Stegostoma tigrinum: one gene and its partners. The protein of the gene in region 2 interacts with the protein of the main gene of each other region in a pairwise test. Links are inferred from orthologs where the notes say so. Each region holds a gene or a part of one and is shown on either strand. Other genes may lie near its edges. The genes, in order: aamp, vps52 and golga1.

Region 1 (3,750 bases), on a different chromosome or scaffold from region 2:
TCATCCCCGCCTCCCCCAGGTATCACACCCCCCTCCCCCGCACATCTCCTGTGTGTACGTCTGTCCCTCCCAATACATCTCCCCCCCCCGCCCTTCCATATGTTCACCCCCACCGATACATTTCCCCCCCGCCGCTCTGTATGTTCACCCCCCCCGCCCCCCCCATACGTGTTCACCCCCCCATACGTCTCCCCCCCGCCCCCCCATACGTGTTCACCCCCCCCATACGTCTCCCCCCCGCCCCCCCATACGTGTTCACCCCCCGCAATACGTCTCCCCCCCGCCCCCCCATACGTGTTCACCCCCCGCAATACGTCTCCCCCCCCATACGTGTTCACCCCCCGCAATACGTCTCCCCCCCCATACGTGTTCACCCCCCGCAATACGTCTCCCCCCCCATACGTGTTCACCCCCCGCAATACGTCTCCCCCCCCCATACGTGTTCACCCCCCGCAATACGTCTCCCCCCCCCATACGAGTTCACCCCCCGCAATACGTCTCCCCCCCCATACGTGTTCACCCCCCGCAATACGTCTCCCCGCAATACGTCTCCCCCCCCATACGTGTTCACCCCTCGCAATACGTCTCCCCCCCCATACGTGTTCACCCCCCGCAATACGTCTCCCCCCCGCCCCCCCATACGTGTTCACCCCCCGCAATACGTCTCCCCCCGCCCCCCCATACGTGTTCCCCCCCCGCCCCCCATACGTGTTCGCCACCCGCAATACGTCTCCCCCCCGCCCCCCCCATACGTGTTCGCCCCCCGCAATACGTCTCCCCCCCGCCCCCCCCATACGTCTCCCCCCCGCCCCCCCATACGTGTTCGCCCCCCGCAATACGTCTCCCCCCGCCCCCCCATACGTGTTCACCCCCCGCAATACGTCTCCCCCCGCCCCCCCATACGTGTTCCCCCCCCCGCCCCCCATACGTGTTCGCCACCCGCAATACGTCTCCCCCCCGCCCCCCCCATACGTGTTCGCCCCCCGCAATACGTCTCCCCCCCGCCCCCCCCATACGTCTCCCCCCCGCCCCCCCATACGTGTTCGCCCCCCGCAATACGTCTCCCCCCCGCCCCCCCCATACGTGTTCGCCCCCCCCGCAATACGTCTCCCCCCCGCCCCCCCCATACGTGTTCGCCCCCCCCCGCAATACGTCTCCCCCCCGCCCCCCCCATACGTGTTCGCCCCCCCCCGCAATACGTCTCCCCCCCGCCCCCCCCATACGTGTTCGCCCCCCCCCGCAATACGTCTCCCCCCCGCCCCCCCCATACGTGTTCGCCCCCCCCGCAATACGTCTTCCCCCCGCCCCCCCCATACGTGTTCGCCCCCCCCCGCAATACGTCTCCCCCCCGCCCCCCCATACGTGTTCGCCCCCCCCCCGCAATACGTCTCCCCCCCGCCCCCCCCATACGTGTTCGCCCCCCCCCGCAATACGTCTCCCCCCCGCCCCCCCCATACGTGTTCGCCCCCCCCGCAATACGTCTCCCCCCCGCCCCCCCCATACGTGTTCGCCCCCCCCCGCAATACGTCTCCCCCCCGCCCCCCCCATACGTGTTCGCCCCCCCCCGCAATACGTCTCCCCCCCGCCCCCCCCATACGTGTTCGCCCCCCCCCGCAATACGTCTCCCCCCCGCCCCCCCCCATACGTGTTCGCCCCCCCCCGCAATACGTCTCCCCCCCGCCCCCCCCATACGTGTTCGCCCCCCCCGCAATACGTCTCCCCCCCGCCCCCCCCATACGTGTTCGCCCCCCCCGCAATACGTCTCCCCCCCGCCCCCCCCATACGTGTTCGCCCCCCCGCAATACGTCTCCCCCCCGCCCCCCCCATACGTGTTCGCCCCCCCCCGCCCCCCCCATACGTGTTCGCCCCCCCCCGCCCCCCCCATACGTGTTCGCCCCCCCGCAATACGTCTCCCCCCCGCCCCCCCCATACGTGTTCGCCCCCCCCCGCCCCCCCCATACGTGTTCGCCCCCCCCGCAATACGTCTCCCCCCCGCCCCCCCCATACGTGTTCGCCCCCCCCGCAATACGTCTCCCCCCCGCCCCCCCCATACGTGTTCGCCCCCCCCGCAATACGTCTCCCCCTCGCCCCCCCGCAATACGTCTCCCCCTCGCCCCCCCCATACGTGTTCGCCCCCCCATACGTCGCCCCCCCGCCCCCCCATACGTCGCCCCCCCGCCCCCCCATAAGTCGCCCCCCACCCTCCTACGCGTGTTCACCCCCCCATACGCCTCCCCCCCGCCCCCTCCTACGCATGTTCGCCCCCCACCTACACATTAACGCCCCTCCCCCTCTCTATGTTTACCCTCCTCCTGCGGCTGTTGGTTGGGATTCAGTTCGATCACTTCCACAATCTCCTCGCCTTGGTGTAACTCCAGCTGGGGGCTCAGCTCCCCCTCTTCCATTCTCCCTCACGTCCCTAGTTACCGCTCACCTAGTTACACTAACTGACTTAACCCGGTCATGTTGACCAGGCGGCTTTTCGCAGGCGCCCTGTCGAGGCCCGACTCACCAACCGGAAGGTCAATGTATGATTGACAACGTTTCCAGCCAATCCAGAACCGGCTTTCGGTATCACCCGGACAACCGTGAGGAAAGGAATATCCGGGGTTCGGTTCCGTCTACACGCCGCGGGACTCCCTGGGAGTTGTAGTCCTGCCTTGATGGAGGGCAAACCGTCTCTGATTCCTCCTCATGGAGTCTTTCTTCCCAGATCGCTCCTAAGTGTCATCCGTTGGAGTAAATCAAGTCGAATCGTGAATTTGAAGTCCCGTCTCACCAGCGGCTGTATCTGCGCATGAGCCGTGAGGAAGTTGCCGTGCTCCCCGCTGCTTGCCGGGATTCTGGAGGATCAAGATGGCAGTAGCTGGGAGGACCTGTTCCAGGAGTAGAGGTAATAAAATGTGAGGCTGGATGAACACAGCAGGCCCAGCAGCATCTCAGGAGCACAAAAGCTGACGTTTCGGGCCTAGACCCTTCATCAGAGAGGGGGATGGGGTGAGGGAACTGGAATAAATAGGGAGAGAGGGGGAGGCGGACCGAAGATGGAGAGAAAAGAAGATAGGTGGAGAGGAGAGTATAGGTGGGGAGGTAGGGAGGGGATAGGTCAGTCCAGGGAAGACGGACAGGTCAAGGAGGTGGGATGAGGTTAGTAGGTAGCTGGGGGTGCAGCTTGGGGTGGGAGGAAGGGATGGGTGAGAGGAAGAACCGGTTAGGGAGGCAGAGACAGGTTGGACTGGTTTTGGGATGCAGTGGGTGGGGGGGAAGAGCTGGGCTGGTTGTGTGGTGCAGTGCGGGGAGGGGATGAACTGGGCTGGTTTAGGGATGCAGTGGGGGAAGGGGAGATTTTGAAACTGGTGAAGTCCACATTGATACCATATGGCTGCAGGGTTCCCAGGCGGAATATGAGTTGCTGTTCCTGCAACCTTCGGGTGGCATCATTGTGGCAGTGCAGGAGGCCCATGATGGACATGTCATCTAGAGAATGGGAGGGGGAGTGGAAATGGTTTGCGACTGGGAGGTGCAGTTGTTTGTTGCAGACTGAGCGGAGGTGTTCTGCAAAGCGGTCCCCAAGCCTCCGCTTGGTTTCCCCAATGTAGAGGAAGCCACACCGGGTACAGTGGATGCAGTATACCACATTGGCAGATGTGCAGGTGAACCTCTGCTTAATGTGGAATGTCATCTTGGGGCCTGGGATAGGGGTGAGGGAGGAGGTGTGGGGGCAAGTGTAGCATTTCCTGCGGTTGCAGG
Region 2 (3,750 bases):
TGTTCCTCTGCTGTAATTTTCTTTGTTCTTTGTGTCAGCAAGGAAGGCAGGTGTACAATTACCTTCTTAACCACCCTGTCTGCATGTGACGCAAAACCTCACAGAATTATGTCGCTGAATCCCTAGGTGTCCTTGTTGTCCAACACCATCCAATGCCTAACTTTTAATTGTACAGGTCTTACCCTTGTTTGTTTCACTAAAATGTAATCTCACATTCACCCAAATTAAATTCCATCTGATACTCCCTCACCCGCATCCCAGGCATGAAGAACCGCAGGAGATGCTACACTTGTCCCCACACCTCCTCCCTCACCCCCATCCCAGGCCCCAAGATGACATTCCACATTAAGCAGAGGTTCACCTGCACATCTGCCAATGTGGTATACTGTATCGACTGTACCCGGTGTGGCTTCCTCTACATTGGGGAAACCAAGCGGAGGCTTGGGGACCGCTTTGCAGAACACCTCCGCTCAGTTCGCAACAAACAACTGCACCTCCCAGTCGCAAACCATTTCCACTCCCCCTCCCATTCTTTAGATGACATGTCCATCATGGGCCTCCTGCACTGCCACAATGATGCCACCCGAAGGTTGCAGGAACAGCAACTCATATTCCGCTTGGGAACCCTGCAGCCATATGGTATCAATGTGGACTTCACCAGTTTCAAAATCTCCCCTTCCCCCACCGCATCCCTAAACCAGCCCAGTTCATCCCCTCCCCCCACTGCACCACACAACCAGCCCAGCTCTTCCCCCCCACCCACTGCATCCCAAAACCAGTCCAGCCTGTCTCTGCCTCCCTAACCTGTTCTTCCTCTCACCCATCCCTTCCTCCCACCCCAAGCCGCACCCCCAGCTACCTACTAACCCCATCCCACCTCCTTGACCTGTCCGTCTTCCCTGACTGACCTATCCCCTCCCTACCTCCCCACCTATACTCTCTCCACCTATCTTCTTTACTCTCCATCTTCGGTCCGCCTCCCCCTCTCTCCCTATTTATTCCAGTTCCCTCCCCCCATCCCTCTCTCTGATGAAGGGTCTAGGCCCGAAACGTCAGCTTTTGTGCTCCTGAGATGCTGCTGGGCCTGCTGTGTCCATCCAGCCCCACACTTTGCTACCTCATTGCTGAAGGATTAATTAGCAATCGCGGGCAGACCTCGTCCCCGCCCGCTGTGCCTCCGACACTGGGAACCTTTACACATCTACCACCGCGACATCGCTAACACCAGGAGGCCTTACCGCGCCGCCGCGGTGCACCCCGGGAGGACGTGGGCGGCCGCTGTGCGCGCCGGGAGTTGTAGTCTTCGCTCCTTGCGTCCCTCTACTCCCCACCCCCACCACCACCCCCCCCCCCCCCCACCCCCTACACCACCCCCACCCCCTACCGAACTGGGTGAGGATCAGGGTCAAACCGCAGGGACCTTGTGGCCCGGATTTCTTTTTGGGGGGGGGGGGGAGAGAAAAACGAACCCCGCCCCCCCTCGGCTGGCCGGGGGATTCCGGTTCCGGGTGAGGAGACGGGCCCCGGATGTTGTTGCTATGGCGGCGGTGGAAGGCGGAGGAGCGGCTGAGGTAGGGACGGGACCGAAACCCCCCCTCACCCCCCGGGGGGTGGGACCTTGTCTATTCACCCTATCCAAGCCCCTCATGATGTTATAAACCTCTATAAGGTCCCTCCTCAGCCTCTGACGCTCCAGGGAAAATAGCCCCAGCCTATTCAGCCTCTCTCCCTGTAGCTCAAACCCTCCAACCCCAGCAACATCCTTGTAAATCTTTCCTGAACCCTTCCAAGTTTCACACCATCCTTCCTGTAGCAGGGAGACCGGAACTGAGAGCTGTATCCCAAAAGTGGCCCAAACCAATGTCCTGCCCAGCCCCAACATGACCCTCCCAACTCCCTGTACTCAACGCACTGACCAATAAAGGCTAATGTACCGAACACCTTCACCATCCTGTCTCCCTGTGAGTCCACTTTCAAGGAACTGTGATCCTGCACCGCCCCCCCCTCAACAAGGTCTCTGTTCAGCAACAGTCCCCAGGACCTTACCATGAAGGAGTATTAGTCCTGCCATGATTTGCCTTTCCAAGATGCAGCACCTCACATTTATCTAAATTAAACTCCATCTACTTGGCTGATCTGAATGAGATCCCCTTATACTCAGGTAACTTTCTTCACTGTCTACTACACCTCCAATTTTGGTGTCATCTGCAAACTTACTAATCATACCTCCAATTTCATATCTAAATCATTTCTATAAATGACAAAAAGCAGCGGACCCTGCACCGATGCTCGTGGCACACCACTGGCTTCCAGCCTCTAATTTTTTTTAAAAAAAACCCTACTGCCAACCCCTTCTGCCTTCAAACCAATTTTATATCCAATTGGTTAGCTGCCCCCTAGATCCCATGTGATCTAATCATGCTAACCAGCCTACCATGTGGAATCTTGCCAGATGCCGCACTGAAATCCATTTGGACAATATTCACCGCACTGCCTTCGTCAGTTTTCTTTGTCACGTTTTCAAACAACTCAGTTAAGTTATTGAGACATGATTTCCCACCTGCAGAGCCATGTTGATTATCCCCAATCAGTCCTTACCTTTCCAAATGTGTAGGAGGAGGGAGGGGAGGATTCACAGATAGACAGGGCAGTGAAGGTGGTGTTCAGTACGCTTTAGCCTTTATTAGTGAGTGCATTGAGTAGAGGAGTTGGGAGGGTCATGTTGGGGCCATACAGAACATTGGTCAGAGCCACTTTTGGAATACAGCGTGTTGAAGCCTCTGAAGTGTGACTTGAATCTGTGAAGGACCTTGAGTTGCTGTCTTTCAGACTTGAGGCTGAAGCAATGATTTCTTGGCTTGTGCAGCTGAAGCGAAAACTTGCCATGTTATTTTGTTTAAAAGGAGAGAAGGGGCAGTGAATTGTCCACTGTTCATCCCTCAATCAGCAGCAGCAGTCAACAAAATAATTGGACCTTATTTAATTAATTTCTTAGAGCTGGTTCACTCAATTGATTCCAGAGATGAGGGGTTTGCCTTTTGAAGAGAGGCAGAGCAGTTTAGGCTTACGCTGTCTGGAGTGTAGAAGAAAGAGAGGATATCTAATTGAGGGATAGAAGATGCTAATGGGGATTGAGAAAGTAGACATAGAGAGGATGTTTCCCCTTGAGGGGCAGTCTGGAAGGAGAGGTCATAGATTGGCCATGCTAAGTTGCCCATAGTGTCTAGGGTAAGGGGTGGGTCTAGGTAGTATACTCTTCAGAGGGTCACTGTGGACTTGATGGACCAGATGGCCTGCTTCCACACTGTAGGGATTCTATGATTTTCGGATAAGGGATGGCAGATTTAAAACAGAGATGAGGAGAAGTTACTTCTCTCAAAGAGCTGTGAACCTGTAGAATTCACTGCCTCAACGGATGTTGAGACACTGGGTCAACTTTTACTCGCTCACAGGATGAGGGTGTTGCTGGCTACACCTGCGTTTACTGCCCGTCCCTAATTGCCCTGAGGGAAGTTAAAAGTCCACCCAACATTGAAGTGATTGATTTTTAAATTAGTGGAAGGGTTGAAGGATTATGGGCAGGAGAGGAGTTGAGGCTGAGATAAGATCAGGCAGATTGGCATCAAATGGTGGAACAGGCTCAATGGGCTGGATTCCAGCTCCTGATTCTGATGTGGGTTTTTTTATGGGGGCTTGCTGTGCAGAAACTGGTTGCCATCTTGAAATTTTTAGTTTATTCATTCACGGGAT
Region 3 (3,750 bases), on a different chromosome or scaffold from region 2:
CTTGCTCAGATGGGCCAGTGGGCCAAGGAGCAGCAGATGGAGTTTAATTTCGACAAATGCAAGGTGCTGCATTTTGAAAAGGCAAATCAGGGCAAGACCTATCTACAACGGTAAGGTTCTGGGGAGTGCTGCTGAACAAAGAGACCTTGGAGTGCAGGTTCATATGTTATTCCTTTGAAAGTGAAGTTCCACATAAACAGGATAGTGAAAAACGCATTTGGTTTGCTTGCCTTTATTGGTCACTGCATTGAGTACAGGAGTTGGGAGGTCTTGTTGCAGCTGCAGTGGGCATTGGTTAAGCCACTATTAGAATATTGCACGGCCTCCCTGCTAAAGAAAGGATGTTGTGAGACTTGAAATGGTTCAAAACAGATTTACAAGGATGTTGCCAGGGTTGGAGAGTTTTGAGCCATAGAGGAAGACTGAATAGGCTGATATTATTTCCCCTGGAGCAGAGGGTGAGGGGTGACCTTTTAGAGGTTTGTAAAGTCATGAGGCACATGGATAGGCTGAATAGACAAGTTCTTTTCCCCCGAGTTGTGGGAGTACAAAACTAGTAGCCATAGGTTTAAACTGAGAGGGGAAAGATTCAGAAGTGACCTAAGGAGTGGCGTTTTTATGAAGAAGAGTGTGTTGCATGTATGGAATGAGCTGCCAGTGGAAGTGGCAGAGGCTGGTATAATTACAATAATTTAAGAAACATCTGGATGCATATATGAATTAGGGGGATGTGGGACAATTGCTGGCAAACGGGACTAGATTTATTATGGGTATCTGGTCGGCATGGAGGAGTTAGGCTGAGCATACAGCTCTATGACTAACTGCAACTGTTGATTCAGCCTGATGAAATCACAATCTTTCCACAAAGCCTCTTCAAAGATCTCAATTTTAGACATACAAAATACATACAATATCTTCTCCAGAGTCAGCTCCTATTGAAGTAATGGAGTCTCTGCTGACCGATCTTGGAATCCGTGCCGTACCAGGACGTGAGGTGTTGCCTGCCTCTTCAGCAATCTTCTTTTTCAGTTTTGCAAACATGGTTCTTCAGCTATATTTTTCAGAGGTGTTCCAAACCACCAAACTGTTTAAGGTTATCTGAAGTCTCAGATGAGTTTGGAAGAGAGACAGTGGATGTGCTTTAGAAAACAATGTACTCTGTTTGGCTCCTAGCTGCTCCTTAATAAGGCTCACTTTTTATATCTACTGCAAAAACCGTCCATTGCATCACCTGTCAGCAAAATAAAGTACATTAGATCAAGAAAATAACATTTCTACTGGTTCTCAACTGCAATCATAATATGTCAGAAATGATGTTTTAAAAAAAAAACTTTGTTTCATTATTCTATACAGCTTGGGTTTCACAACTGAAGTCCACTGCAATTCTCCTGTATACCCACATTTCTTTGTTTCCTACCCTAAATTCTACTTTAGAAGACCTGGCAGCCAACATACAAATATGTAACCACTAAGAAAGGGAAATGGGAAGAAAATTAAGTAAACATTTCAAAATTGTTCCATCCAACCCAAGTTCAAGCACAAAAACGGGCACCGGGTGTTTGCACGCGGGCTCAGTGCCAATACTATGAGAAAAGAGTATTTTGCGTCGCGCTTACATTGGACCAAACTGCAGAAAAGATTAATTAAAGTTTAATGACATGATACCAGTTTTTGTGCTACTTCTTTGATGCCAGAATTGTCACATTCTATTTCCCCAAGGACTGTTGGTAAATTCCATTCTTCAAGAATTCTGACAAGACCATGTTTTGCCTATGAACAAGACTATTCAATGTGCTGTTTCATTTTCCTTAACAATACAGCATTTTGTTTCTGCTACTTTTTCCAGAAGTTATGGTCACCTAATCTTTGGGATTCAAAACTACTTCTAATCAACTAATCACAGTATTATTCAAAGTTTCTTTCCTGTAAGAAAATATGACTCAAAAGGAATCAAACAAATGGACTGGAGCCAGTTCAGGTGAATAAATTCCAAATGGATTAGTCAGACTTTATAAATTTCTCATGATTCAGGAACAATGTCCTTGGGTGATCCATTATTTAAGGCACAGGAGGGACAACCTAGGTAGCAACACGTCTGTTAGTTTAACATCATTTATGGGGAATTTACTGGGAGAAATCGTGAAACAGAAAGAATAAATCTTTGAAACAAAACAGAAATTGCTGAAAAAGCTCAGCGGGTCTGGCAACATCTGTGAAGAAAAAAAAAATCAGAGTTAACGTTTCGGGGTCCCGTGGTCTTTCCTCAGAACGGATCTTCACAGATGCTACCAGACCTGCTGCGCTTTTCCAGCAATTTCTGTTTTGTTTCGGAACAGCAGCTGACAGCTTCTTGAGTGACAGTTTACGGGACCAGTCGGAAAGCGCGTCCATCCCTGTCGAGGGACAGAACAGCCAACCCACCAATCAGCAGCTCGTCAATAAGGTGGGCTCGGCAGCAGGTTTTAGTTCACCAAAGGAGGGCGAGCGGCCGAGCGTCCGCCGATACGGCCAACTTGGGTCATCACTCATGGTTCACTAAGCAATCAACTACCCACTGAAAGCTTCTGCTCGGCCGGATCTGTTATAAATAGCAGGTCACTTCCGAGAAGTTCGACACGAAATTGCCGATAACGGTAGGAACCATAAACTCCGGAGAGCGAGGACACCCGAGCAGGCACTTTCTCATGGCGACCAAGTACCTGAGTGTGTGTTAGCAGCAAGGCTCTATACACTACTGCTCCATCCTGTTGTCGGCCTTTCTCACCTCCGCTCAGCCGACGTGGCCGCAACGTCATCAAGTTCCCAGCGGCTTTCCTTCAGTCCAATCAGATTGAACGTTAGATCGGGGACTTGTGCCATTGTACCCATTCGCTGATGTATTGGGACTGCTGATTGGACCGTAGCCAAGCCCACCAAAACAAATCCCCGTCAGCAGCAGTGGGGGAGGCGCCGACGACGCCAACAACAGTATCGACCTGATCAAGAGTGAACTAGTGAGACAGTGCTGCTCCAAGAGTCTCGGAGGACTCGAATTCAACATCAACGGGCCCCAGATTTCCCTTCAACACAGCGTGTCAATTCTCCCAGACGTTACATCTTCTTGTCACTGCTGCAAGGAACCCGAGTGAAAAAGCACTAGGATTTTTTAAAACAAATTCACACACCACACATGAAGTAGGAAACTGAAACTGCACTCGAGATAAAACACGGAAGTGAGGCTGCTGATTGTGGGGCATGTGGACTTGATGGGCTGAATAGCCTGCTTCTCCTTTGCAAGATGGAATATTGCCCTCTTAATTTAGGGATATAGGCCTTAGGGTATGATCAGCTACGATCTCATTAAAATAGCAGATAGGCTCGAGAGACGTCCTGTTCCTAATTCAATCGCAAGCTGCCAGCAGAACTGAATCAAGGCAGTTGATAGTCTAATAGTACCGATGTCTCAAAGGTCTGAGGAAGAGTCATCTAGACTGGAAACCTGGGAACCCTGCAGCCCAATGGTATCAATGTGGACTTCACCAGCTTCAAAATCTCCCCTTCCCCCACCGCATCCCTAAACCAGCCCAGTTCGTCCCCTCCCCCCACTGCACCACACAACCAGCCCAGCTCTTCCCCTCCACCCACTGCATCCCAAAACCAGTCCAGCCTGTCTCTGCCTCCCTAACCTGTTCTTCCTCTCACCTATCCCTTCCTCCCACCCCAAGCCGCACCTCCATCTCCTACCTACTAACCTCATCCCACATCCTTGAC

Evidence for each region.
Region 1: the proteins of vps52 (region 2) and aamp interact in a two-hybrid assay, tested with the Homo sapiens proteins (2 studies listed by BioGRID and IntAct). The link is inferred for Stegostoma tigrinum from reciprocal best matches to the Homo sapiens genes VPS52 and AAMP.
Region 3: the proteins of vps52 (region 2) and golga1 interact in binary tests that used the Homo sapiens proteins (3 or more experiments, as listed by UniProt). The two-hybrid records come from large-scale screens. The link is inferred for Stegostoma tigrinum from reciprocal best matches to the Homo sapiens genes VPS52 and GOLGA1.

What each region holds. Positions count from the first base shown.
Region 1 is NC_081360.1:104,059,492-104,063,241, reverse strand, and holds the start of aamp (angio-associated migratory cell protein), read right to left. Parts: upstream 2,851-3,750; 5' UTR 2,406-2,850; coding exon 2,306-2,405; intron 1-2,305. Other genes in the region: si:ch73-71c20.5 (DUF4748 domain-containing protein), read left to right, coding at 2,857-2,893. UniProt on the Homo sapiens protein: Plays a role in angiogenesis and cell migration. In smooth muscle cell migration, may act through the RhoA pathway.
Region 2 is NC_081387.1:27,638,509-27,642,258, forward strand, and holds the start of vps52 (vacuolar protein sorting-associated protein 52 homolog), read left to right. Parts: upstream 1-1,437; 5' UTR 1,438-1,538; coding exon 1,539-1,571; intron 1,572-1,940; exon of another isoform or gene 1,941-2,140; coding exon of another isoform or gene 2,141-2,161; intron 2,162-3,750. UniProt on the Homo sapiens protein: Acts as a component of the GARP complex that is involved in retrograde transport from early and late endosomes to the trans-Golgi network (TGN).
Region 3 is NC_081382.1:26,349,245-26,352,994, forward strand, and holds the start of golga1 (golgin subfamily A member 1), read right to left. Parts: upstream 2,832-3,750; 5' UTR 2,700-2,831; intron 2,611-2,699; exon of another isoform or gene 2,422-2,610; intron 1,232-2,421; 5' UTR 1,042-1,231; coding exon 910-1,041; intron 1-909. UniProt on the Homo sapiens protein: Involved in vesicular trafficking at the Golgi apparatus level. Involved in endosome-to-Golgi trafficking. Mechanistically, captures transport vesicles arriving from endosomes via the protein TBC1D23.